Schizosaccharomyces pombe: one gene and its partner. The gene in region 1 interacts genetically with each later gene. Each region holds a gene or a part of one and is shown on either strand. Other genes may lie near its edges.

The links. A genetic interaction does not mean that the proteins touch.
Region 2: mutations in bdc1 (region 1) and sum2 together harm fitness more than expected from each alone (negative genetic interaction), as found in Schizosaccharomyces pombe (2 studies listed by BioGRID).

What each region holds. Positions count from the first base shown.
Region 1 is NC_003423.3:2,421,287-2,428,933, forward strand, and holds bdc1 (bromodomain-containing protein 1), read right to left. Parts: upstream 4,239-7,647; 5' UTR 4,188-4,238; coding exon 3,288-4,187; 3' UTR 3,129-3,287; downstream 1-3,128. Other genes in the region: BAR adaptor protein Hob1, read right to left, coding at 1-972; cysteine desulfurase Nfs1, read left to right, coding at 1,474-2,979; rkr1 (ubiquitin-protein ligase E3), read left to right, coding at 5,281-5,309, 5,499-7,647.
Region 2 is NC_003423.3:265,419-269,908, forward strand, and holds sum2 (translation initiation inhibitor), read left to right. Parts: upstream 1-2,037; 5' UTR 2,038-2,071; coding exon 2,072-2,124; exon of another isoform or gene 2,125-2,162; coding exon 2,163-2,221; exon of another isoform or gene 2,222-2,259; coding exon 2,260-2,441; exon of another isoform or gene 2,442-2,549; coding exon 2,550-3,536; 3' UTR 3,537-3,990; downstream 3,991-4,490. Other genes in the region: trm6 (translation initiation factor eIF-3 gamma subunit Gcd10), read left to right, coding at 1-50, 187-1,480; SPOM_SPBC800.14C (uncharacterized protein), read right to left, coding at 4,289-4,490. UniProt on the Schizosaccharomyces pombe protein: Required for G2/M phase checkpoint control.

The DNA.
Region 1 (7,647 bases):
TGGGGGTGGAATATCCGTAGCTGTCGAAGAGGAGGGTTCGGCTGCTGCTTCTTCACGCTTTGACGAAAAGGAAGAAGAAGAAGAAGCAGTTGCATCTTTACCACCCGGTCCCATACCCGGTCGTTTATACGTCGGTTTAGCGGTCTTAAATTTAGTAATCGTCAAAGCCTCTGCGCGATCTTTAACATCGCCGCGTCTTCTTTCGTACGATTCCAAAATATCGGTATTGAAATCAAAGTACTGAATTTCGCAGTGACTCATCTTTTCATAAAGAACGTAATAGACATTTAATTGCATATAGTAAAATCCTTGGAATAAGGGAGCAATGAAGCTCTGAGCCAATGCAAATAGTTTAGGTAACTCCTCCTTCAGCATTTCATTATAATATTCATATTCTTGGGAAGATTGTTCAAAGGCGGTTTCAGCTTCATAAAGCTTCTTCTCATCTTTAAGGCTTTTATCCTTCTTTTCCTGAAGTTTCTTGAAAGATGAACGATGACGATCATAATCCAGCTGCTTATGATCGCGTTTCAACAAAAGCTTATCTACATCCTTAACAATCTTGAGCAGTTCACCAGTTGGATTGACAATGCGAGTGTTGATAACATCCATTTCAGAAGCCAAATTCTTTTGGAGATCGTATACAATTTCCTTGTAAGCCTCGGCAGCCTCAATACCTTCCGCATTGCCTTCTTGCTCATACGATTCAGGATCCGAAGCACGCCCACTAATAGGCTTGTAAATTTCAATACAAGCATCGGCAAATCCAATTTGATGATTCAATAACCCATTAATAGCATCAGTATACTTTTTGGCGTCTTCAGCCAGCTTTTTCGCTTCCGTTTCTAAAGACTTAAACCGTCTTCCAGCATCCTCATAAATAGGATCTTTGGTAATCTCTCCAACATTAAACTTGCTGCGTAGAGTCTGCGGCGTACGCGCAAGTGCCTTTGTAAACCCTTTCCAGCTCATCAAGTAATTCTGGTAGTTGGTATGTCTGACCCTTTCAAATTCCCTTAACCATCCTTCTCCGTATTCACGTAGCATACTTCGCAGCAATGCTGATCGTTTCCTGTAATTGTGCCGAATCGCAAATACAGTATACTACGCAACGTCTCGTTATTTTTATTTTTATTTTTATCTAGATGAGGTGAAAACATAGTAAATATAAGGCAAACATTTGATTTTAATTTGCTCGTCTCTATGCTCTTTATTACAGTTTTTATTCGATTGAACAGTGTCTCCGTCGTTTACGATGCAATGATAACATACTGATAATTGCGCAGCTCTACATGTATTGGGTCGAAGCTTAGTTTTGGTTGGTTTCAGATACGCCGCCAACCAAAATTTTTATTAGTCAGATCGCAAAATTTGAACTTAGCAACTGCCAAATTATTTTAAAAAGGACTTGTTTCTTGTTGTTTAGGAAATAAATAAAGAATTAGCAAAATTTCCTCTATTTTGGAAACAACCATGTCCAAAATGGGAAGTTTGATGCTTTCTAGAGCAAGATGCCTTCTTGAACTACGAAGTGCTTTATTTTTTGTCAAGCGAGAGAGTCAGGATATTAATAATGTTAGACAGAGTCTTGGAGTTTACGGTAGGTCGTTTATGACTTCCAGTCGTATGGACAAACCTTCAATGAGCAATAAACCTCGTGAACAAATGTACGGGCTAGGAAACATGACGGCGGTTCAAGAGCCCATACCGGAAAATTCTTTGAAAACAGTAACTTTGGATCAAGCACAAACCGCTGCTAGTACGGTTACGGGATTGCATCCTATATATATGGATTTTCAAGCTACCTCTCCTCTCGACTATCGTGTACTAGATAGTATGCTTCCCTTCTTCACTGGAATTTATGGAAACCCACATAGTCGAACACACGCCTATGGCTGGGAAGCAGAAAAAGCTGTTGAAAATGCACGCCAAGAGATAGCATCTGTAATCAATGCTGATCCAAGAGAAATTATTTTTACATCTGGCGCAACTGAATCAAATAATGCTATTTTGAAAGGTGTTGCCCGATTTTACAAAAGTAGGAAAAAGCATCTTGTTTCCGTTCAAACTGAGCACAAATGCGTTTTGGATTCCTTACGTGCTCTCCAAGAAGAAGGGTTTGAAGTTACTTTTCTACCTGTTCAAACTAATGGCCTTATTAATTTGGATGAATTACGTGACGCCATACGTCCTGATACTGTTTGTGTAAGTGTAATGGCCGTCAATAATGAAATTGGTGTTTGTCAACCACTAGAAGAGATTGGCAAAATTTGTCGACAGAAGAAGGTTTTCTTTCACTCAGATGCTGCTCAAGGATATGGAAAAATTGACATTGACGTCAATCGAATGAACATTGATTTAATGTCTATTTCTGCTCACAAAATTTACGGCCCTAAAGGAATTGGAGCCGCTTATGTTAGAAGACGTCCTCGTGTACGTTTAGAGCCGCTTATTAGTGGTGGAGGTCAGGAACGAGGTTTACGAAGTGGTACTCTTGCTCCATCTCAAGTAGTGGGATTTGGTACTGCGGCCCGTATATGCAAAGAAGAAATGAAGTATGATTATGCACATATTTCCAAACTATCCCAAAGATTAATAGATGGCCTTCTTGCAATCCCATATACATCTTTGAATGGCGACCCTAAATCTAGATATCCAGGTTGTGTCAACATTTCTTTCAATTATGTAGAAGGGGAATCGTTGCTTATGGGTTTGAAAAATATCGCGCTGTCTTCTGGTTCTGCCTGCACATCCGCATCTCTAGAACCGTCTTACGTTTTGCGTGCAATTGGTCAGAGTGATGAAAATGCTCACAGTTCTATTCGTTTTGGTATTGGCCGATTTACAACTGAAGCCGAAATTGATTATGCTATTGAAAATGTGAGTAGACAAGTTTCTTTCTTAAGGAATATGAGCCCGTTATGGGATTTGGTTCAGGAGGGTGTCGATCTTAGTACTATAGAATGGAGTCAACATTGAAGAACGCTTAATTTTACCTATTGAAGATTTTATTTTTTTTTTATATGAACGTATGGAAGTTGAAACTTTTTACCAGCTGTTATATAGTTACAAAAAACTAAATTGTAAATTATCTCATACTTGATTTGAATCTATACGAAATAAATACACGGTTATGATATAAAAAAAAACATAAATTTGATAAAAATAAAATATAGTACCATTTAAAAAATATGTACCCCCAAGTCGTCAAAATTATAGCCAAAAAATGATATGAATCCAAAGCATAAACAAAAAATGTTAAGGAATATAATTAAAATGTAAAACACTCATTGAGAACGGGTACTTGCCTGACGATAAATATCGAAAAGCTCTTCTGTGTAGCGAAAACATTCATCTCCCCATATGGACATGGCGTTGGCTGGATCGCTGCCATTGTACATTTTACAATTAGCAAAGATTCGAAGAACTTCTCGATACAATTCATCCACTTCCGTGATGTTACCCTCTTTGATCATATTCTTCAATGTTCGTAAGTCTTGAGGTTTATAAACTAAAGAATCGTAATCTGGTGCCTCTTTACGATTTACAGGATGACTAAAAGGTGCTCCAAACCTGTGATTAGAAATATTGTCGAGCATAGGAAGCATTGCACTTTGGAACTTTTTCAAAGACTGCTTTTCTTCATTAGACAGGGCAGCGCGCTTTTTTGGAGTCTTAGTTGTGGGTGCAACTTCGGGTTCGATATTTGCAGGAGCTGCAATCTCTGGTGTTTTCTTTCTAGAACGAAGAGATTTATTAGCAGCCTCTACAGGAGCTTCAGTTTTCGCTTTTTTTGCTTCCTTGTCAGCTTCTTCAAGTGCGAGTTGATCCTCCACAGCTTTTGCCTTTGCCTTTGCAACCTCTTCATATAAGCTTTCCAGTTTTTTTTCACATCCCTGTATCTCTTCAGCCAAATCCTTTAGGACATCGTTCCGCAGCCTTTTTCGTAGATTTTTTCGAGCATCATTATCGTTTTGAGAAACTTGGTTGGAGAGAAGCTTTGAATCAGATTTATTGCTATCATGCATCCATTCCTCGACCAGATCCTTTAATTGATCTTGTTCAATTGGCTCTAAAAGCAGGCTGCTTTCTGCCGTTCGATTGAAGAGTTCTTCGTTGGGAGCATTAGGATTTTCTTGCTGAATATCAAGATATTGTAAAACAGCAACCTCTTGAGCAATATTCATTATGCACTATACTTGCATCATCTCCACTAATTTTACAAGACAAGACACGGTAGAAAGGGAGTCCTTCTTTTCGTAGTGTACTACCTCCTTCATACGGCGTGCGCGTAAAACCTAAATTCTCGTTAGAGATTGCTGTAAAACTTCATTAACGCAACAATGCTAAATAATTTACGTTAGTTGCCAACCTTACACATGTTGCATATCTTAATAATTCAATGTCTTAGTTTGAAGACTTCTATAGAATTGCAGTTTGTCAAATTGTAATTGATTCCTATGATACCAGTGAATTATGTTCTATAAACCTTTTGCGTAAAATCTTTAAATTTTGCTGGATAGTCACATCATACTAACCAAGTTTCCAACGTTTTCTGTAACTAACGCAATATTGAACAGATCGCAATAAAAATCATCGTATTTTTACTGCATCCTTAAATTAGATAAGGTATTTTGTAGATGACACCGTTTGATAAGTTACTTTAAATAAGTTTTGCGATTGCAATTAAAGAATCTGATATGTAAGCTACGCAGTTTGGTATCTGATTTAAGGATACGTAGAACTGCGGTGAGTTTTCCTTGTGATCTATTATATTACAATACACAGGTTGTATAAGTAGCAACTGAGTATAGGTATTGTATTAACTGGGTTATAATGTTACCTATCACTAATATAGCTCATAACTGAACTGAGGAACGAGGTTCAGCAGTAGCTCTATTTATAGTATTCAGATAATATTGATCTTAATAGATTATCATTAAGATCAATCTCCATATCGTATCATACATGGTACGATATATAATTAGAACATGTGACATATAGTGATACGCAACGTAGTGTATCATAGCGTAGTGTAGTATTGCTGACATGATATACAGTTTAGCAAGCTACTTAATTCCTTTTCCGTCATCACAAATAGTTAAGCTTTAAAGTATCAGTTTATAAAGCATTGCATACCACAATGAATTGCTTAAAACAACGTTATCAATAACCTATGATAACGTCGGACAGACTGATATCTGATTTCCTTTGTAATTTTTCATTCTTTGTGCCAAATTGATCCGCTGCATTCCATTGCATTGTAAACTAAAAAAAAAGATGAAAAAAAAATCTACGGATTTATACGGGTAAGTAAAGATGTGAGAAGATGGTAACAAAATGGGTTTGCACACAAAATAGGGTCTTTCTCATTGGATATATGCAGAACACCTATGTTATTACAAATCCATACTTTTCCATATTTTGGGGAAGTTTGTTTAAAAATACAACGATTCTTTTTTCTTTATGTATGTGCCGAAATGCTAATCTCTTTATAGCCGTAAAAATCCCGGGATGCAATCGATGTCAGGATCGTTTTCATCCTTGCAAATTGCGTTGGATGAGTCCAGCTCAAATTTTAGTACGATATATGAGCCTCCAGACTTGTCTGGTTTAGACGCAGAAATGATTGTTATTGTGAAGAATTTGCAAAAGCGTGACATCGTAACGAAATGTCGAGCTTTACAAGATTTAATTCAGTGGAATGACCCATCACAGTTTGACAATGAACAGTTTCTAAATGCTTTGGCAGTTTTATTTCCTCGACTATCTATAGAAGTGGAACGACATGTGCGGTTAAAAATCTTTGTCTTCATGTCTGTTCTATCTTCTGCGCTTCAAAAAAAACTTGCACCATGGCTCAAATTCTATATCACACCTTGGGTTATGGGTTTTTTTGATTCAGATCGTGCAGTCTCTGTATCAGCAAAAGACTCTTTTAAAAATTTACTCTCCGAAGAAAAGTGGCCCCATGTTTGGCTGAAGTTTGGATCTACTATCGCACCTATAGTCACTGATGTTTTTTTACATGAAGACAAAGAATCGTTAACGGATTTGCGTTTTTTTTCAAATGAAGAAGCTGAATCGAAAGTTACCAGAGTTAAATCTAGCTGTCTTCTGACCCTTTCTTTTCTTTTCAAACAGACTGCCGATTTAGAAAATCTAGAGACAGATAAGAAGATAGATAAGCAAACCTTTAAGTCATCTCTTTACGAGAACTTGTCTACACTTTTCAAGTCTGACGAATTTTGGTCTTTGGTTTCCTCACCTCAGGATGGTGTCACAGTGAGCCTGAGCGATTTATTGCTCATTATCTTGAAGTATGATAAACCTTTTGTTACCCAATATAAAGAGAAATATTTTAAACGTGTTTCACGAATGATTTCACGACTAACTAGTTTGACCTGCGTCCCTATGCTTAGGCTTCTTAGTAACATGATTTCTAATTTCCCCAACGAGGTTCACCAATTTGCAAATGATTCAAAACGTCCTCTTTCAAAGTTGTTCTCAAATTTGATCACCAAGCGAATCAGCCTTCCTAATTCTGGGTTTTACACATCCTTGCTGAATTTGTTTAAAAGTATAGGCGCTATGCAGCTCGTTCCTTCCATTGAAAGTGTAGACGAATTGTGTGATGCATTCTTAGAAACTGCAAATCAAGAACAACGTTTCCTATCTACTGAAGTTTATGACTGTTTACTCAATTTCTTGTCATTTGTTTATACCGATTCTTCCGATCCTCAAATTAAGGATCATGTCCGTGACCGTTTAAGGACTATATTTACCAGGTATTTTAAAGGTGAATTTGTTCTACGCTGTTCAACGTCTGATTTCGATCATTGCTTGCAAAGTGTATTCGATAAAAATTCAGATTTCGCCTCGCTCTGGAACGAAGTGTTATTTGGTTTCTTTAATGATGAATCTATGGACATTGAAACTATCCCATTTGATTCTTTATCACGTAACTTAAGCTTAACCGTTCAAACAGTTTTATATCTTAAAAATAGAAATTTTCAAACTGGAAATGAAGTCATGTCGATTCTGGGACCTTGTTTGTCATTTTTAATGAAATTGTCTACCCACAAAAATGAACGTATTGCATGTTTATCGGCATCCCAGTTAATAACTGTTTGTCACATATTCAGTGATACTACATTGATTAAACCCGTTAAGGAACTTTTTCAAAAATATTTGGTGAATGATTTGCCTTCTTCGATTTTAAAGCTTGGGCCTCAATCTCCAGCCTTTACTTTGCTTCGTGATATTCTTTTACTTCTTAAAGATTACGCGGATCTCTCTGAGCCTTGGGAAAATGTTGCTAATCAATTCACAGTGTCCTTTGATGAACTGGAAAATATTAGGGTTTTAAATAGTCTTCCCTCTTTGTTTGCTGATGGAAAACTAAGGGGGAAAATTTCCTTGGTAAAAACATTAGTAGAATACTATGATACAGCAGTATTTGCTATTATGCAAAACCCAGGAAACGATTGGGATATGATAAGAGCGTGCATTGGGTCTAAGGAAATCCTTGTTCCAGAAGAAACGATTAAAAATATTTTGTTTACGACCTTGGAGTATTTTCTTACGAATGATTGGGTTGATAATCATTTGATTATTTTGTGCGCATCATTGCATTCTCTGAAAGCT
Region 2 (4,490 bases), 2.2 Mb from region 1:
ATCAAGCTTCCTTCAGACAATGTTCGTTTTGTAACATTGAAACCAAACAAGTAAGTATGAGGATCTTAATTTACAATTTAAAGTACATTTTCAATGATAGCAATTGAAATTGTTTTTTGCATAAGGAGATAGAGGTGATCTAGTTTATCTCGTTCATATTGATCTTACTGACTTTATATTAAATAGTACAATTCACCTCGGAAAATTTGGTTCATTTCTCGCTGATGATTTGTTTGGAAAGCATTTTGACGAAACTTTTGAAATTTATCAACCCAAAAAAATTCGAGTTTTAAAAACAAGGGAGGTACAGTATATCGAGGAAGAAAAGAAAACGAATCAAGAACTTAATGATTGTCGAGGCAATCAGCTTATGACTCAAGAGGAGATTGATGAACTGCGCGCAAACATTAAAGCTGGTGGACTTCGTGCTGAAGAGGCCATCAAACAGTTGACTAATAGTAGTAAAACTTTTGAGCAAAAAACTTTATTTGCTCAGGAGAAATATGTTACGAGAAAAGGGGAAAAGTATCTTCAACGCTTTCAGGTTTTACGACCTTGTGTTGAAGTTGTGGCTAATTACATGATTGAACATGATCCGTATAAGATACTTGATCTTACTGCCGAGTGTATAAGCTTGATGCTTACTCTTGGAAATGTTAAACCTGGGGGTAGATATTTGGTAGTTGATGAGACTGGATGCATGTTCCTTGGTTCTCTTATTGACCGTGTTGCTGGTGATTGCAAAATAACCCTGGTCCATCCAAATGAGCAACCTAATAGCTCTTGTTTAGAGTATTGGGGGCAAGACTTTAAAGAGGATAGTTTGGTTCAAAAAGGGATTTTGAAAACTTTGAATTGGTATCAAGTTACGAATCCAACCGAGACTTTAAGTGAGTATTCGGTTGAAGATATTCCTGAATCAGAGTTGAATGAGATGAAACTTCGCCACCGTAAGCGCTATGAAACGAAGAAAGCTACATTTAACCGTTTGAAGAATACTATTGATGATTTTGAAAGTGGTAACTATGATGCTCTCTTTATACTATCTATTCACACCCCAATGTCTGTTCTTCAACATCTTCTTCCAAAGCTCGGTATATCACGTCCTTTCATGGTATACTCAACATATCAGCAAGTCTTAGTCGAGACGTATCATCAATTATCTAAATGGGATAACTTATTTGTAGAAAAGACAGCTCAAAGTACTGAAAATGACGAAAAGGTTGATCAAGGAGACGTTGCTATTGATACACAGAAAGAGAAAGTCATCATGCTGGATATTCATGAGATTCGTACACGACCTTACCAAGTCTTGCCAGAAAGGACTCATCCATTCATGACTGTTAGGGGTGATATGGGTTTCGTTTTATCTGGGATCAAGGTGTTAACTTCTGACAGCAATCTAGCTGCCGGAAGGTTTCCAAAACGTAAGGGCCAGAAAGAAACTTCTTCTGTCAAAAAAGCAAAATTGGAAAATTAGATATGAAATATTACTTTTGGAATATTTTTTTCAAGGCTACTCTATTAGATCAACAAGGGGAGTTACAATTTTGGACATAAACTCAGTTACGTTGAATTGGGAAAAGGTTTTTGTTATATTAAAAAGTTTTTTGTTTCATTCTTTAACTTAAAATTTTCATACGTATCAGAAAATGAATATGTTAGTTGGATAATGTAATTGACGGTGCGGTTTCAGGTTAACTCAATTTTGAAGAGCGTTAAAGTACAGTGTCTTTTGCTTGGCATTTTCATTCTTTTTAAAAATAGATTACTTGTAATAAGTATAAAATTAGTTACAATTTGACTGCTGCACATATACGTATTTAAGTAAAATAAGTAGTACATGGTCAGAGCAGCTGTGGATAGCCTTTTTGATCTTAAGCATGTTAATTTTAAATAAATATAAAAACTGATGAAAAAACAGCTTATAAATGACAATGTCGCATTTTGGTCTTATTTACTCGGTATAATGAACCCCATACTAGCGCTATCGCCAAGTTCGTTAATTTCGAAAGGACACCTAACCACGCTCCTTTCACCACTAAGCTTTACTTCGTCGAGTTTATAACCAATGACTGAATTTATTGGTTCTCGTATTAGTCTAATTAGCAAATCTGACATTCGGTACGTGAGAGCATTATCTTTCCTTTACTAATATTTAGTTATGTGGGCATTTTGCAGGACATCAATTCCCAGGACTCAACACTGGCTTTGAAGCATGGTAGGTTGAGTACCCAGCATTGATTACTAACAGTTTAGTCCGTTGGTGTGGTACTGAAGGAAGAAAACAAGATCCCTCTCAAGAAATCCCCCCATCAGATAATGTATTTGATTACATTGTTTTTCGTGGAAGCGATGTTAAAGATTTACGGATTGAGGAACCTGCTACTACTCCTTCTGCTCCCCCGGTTCAACCTCCTAATGATCCTGCAATTATTGGGGTATGTTACGTCTAAAGAGTGGTGGAGATTCTCATTAGTATATCTAGTATTAATTATCTTTGGCACTCTTTATATATCTGACAAGATCATGATTTTAACTATAATTAGTCTAATAGCGGGCAGTATAATTGGAACCAAGCGCAGACTGCCCAACCTCCTCAGCCTGTTCAACCTAACCCTTATGGAGCTCCATACCAACAGGCTCCTCCAGCAGGTGCACCTTACTATATGTACCCGAATGCTCCCGCTCAATTTGTACCTCCTGGAGGTTTGCCTTTGGGTACTCCCTTAGACGCATCCACACCTGCGGTCCCGTATTATGGGGCACCTGATCAACAGCAAATGGGTCAACGTCCTGAGTTTGCTCAAAATGTTTCTCAAGGGTTTGCCGGTCAGGCCCCGTACAACGTACGTCCTGGATACGGAATGCCTTCAAACCAGAAGCCTCCCAACTTTGCTCCGGGCATGCCTGCTCCTGGTCCTACCGCGGTATCTGCATCTCCGTCTCTTCAATCCATGCCGCCCACGAATGGAGTGATACCAGGTGCACAGCCCTCCATTGAAGCATCTATTGAAAAAGAAAGTACTAGTATACGGAATTCCACTGTCACAAATGACCGTGTTGTGAATACTACTGTGGATGTCTCTCAATCCCAAACCGTTGAAACATCTGGACCTTCTAAAGAAGTTCCTACAACTCAACCTGATGCTAGTGCTGCAAAGCCTCGTACCGAATTTGACTTTCAAACTGCAAATCAAAAGTTTCAATCGATGAAAGATGATTTGTTAAAAGGAAAAAATGATGAAGAAGCCGAAGAATTTTACAAGCCTAAGCAATCTTTTTTTGATAATATTAGTTGTGAAAGTAAAGAGAAGGGTATGGAAGCTGCAGATAGAAGAGCTCTACGAGATCGCGAACGTTCTTTGAACATGGAGACATTTGGCGTTGCTGGCTCTGGAAATCGCGGCCGTCGTGGACGTGGTCGTGGACGTGGTGGTAGAGGTCGTGGACGTGGATATGCAAGAAATCAATATAACCAATACAGGAATTCCAATGGCTCTCAACCTAGAGCCCAGCCTGCAAACGACCAATGAACTGCATTTCTTATAATGAGTACAGATGAAGTATCCTCGTTTCTCTAGATTGAGCTTCGTCTTCGTTTCAATCATGATGAACTCAAAATTTATGGACATGTATTTAACGACCCGAAAAAAGGTGTTCTCTTATATAAACCAAAAGGATTAGTCGTTGTTATTTGATATTTAACTTAGGAGTTTTGTTAAGTTCTTGTAGAGTGCTTTAAAAACTATACTTATCTGCTCATGTATTACGCAAGAAGAACAAGCATTGAAACGATATCCTATACCGAGATTTCGTAAAGGTATTACGAATAAATGTTAATGGGTTACATATAATTACCAAAAGGTTGAAGACTTAACCAATCCGCTAATGTTTATTCTTTTATACACCTTGATAGACCCAAAGCATCGCTGGTTGCATGACTGAACATTGAACAACCCGTGTTTTTCAACAGTCGTTTCGTTTTTGAAAAGCGTTTTGTAAAAATTTGATTCAGTCGACTTGTTTGAAGCTGACAAACTATAGAATCCAAACAACAATGTTTGAGCAGTATGAACAATTTATAAGCGAATCGTTTTAAAAATAAAAATGTGCTCTCTTAATTTTAGCATTTTTTAATAGTTTAAATTTCACGAACTTAACTACGTGATATAGTGTTTTAATAATCAGCAGTAGAAAAATTAGAACTTAATATTATTTGATCATCAACGAATATCGGAACGCAAGAGTTAACACGTAAACGATACATTACAATTATGTTTTGTTATCAAAAGTAAATTGATCCAGCGATTGAAGCTAAACCAGAGAAAAACATAAATGCGCTTCGAAATAAGTTTTTAAAACCCCATCTGTGAATTATACTGCGGAAATTTTGAGTAGCCTTTACATCTTTAAGTATTAGATCTGGATTTAACGTTTGTAAAGAGTTAATGTCCTTTTTCATAAACAAAAGCGTGAAAGGAATAATA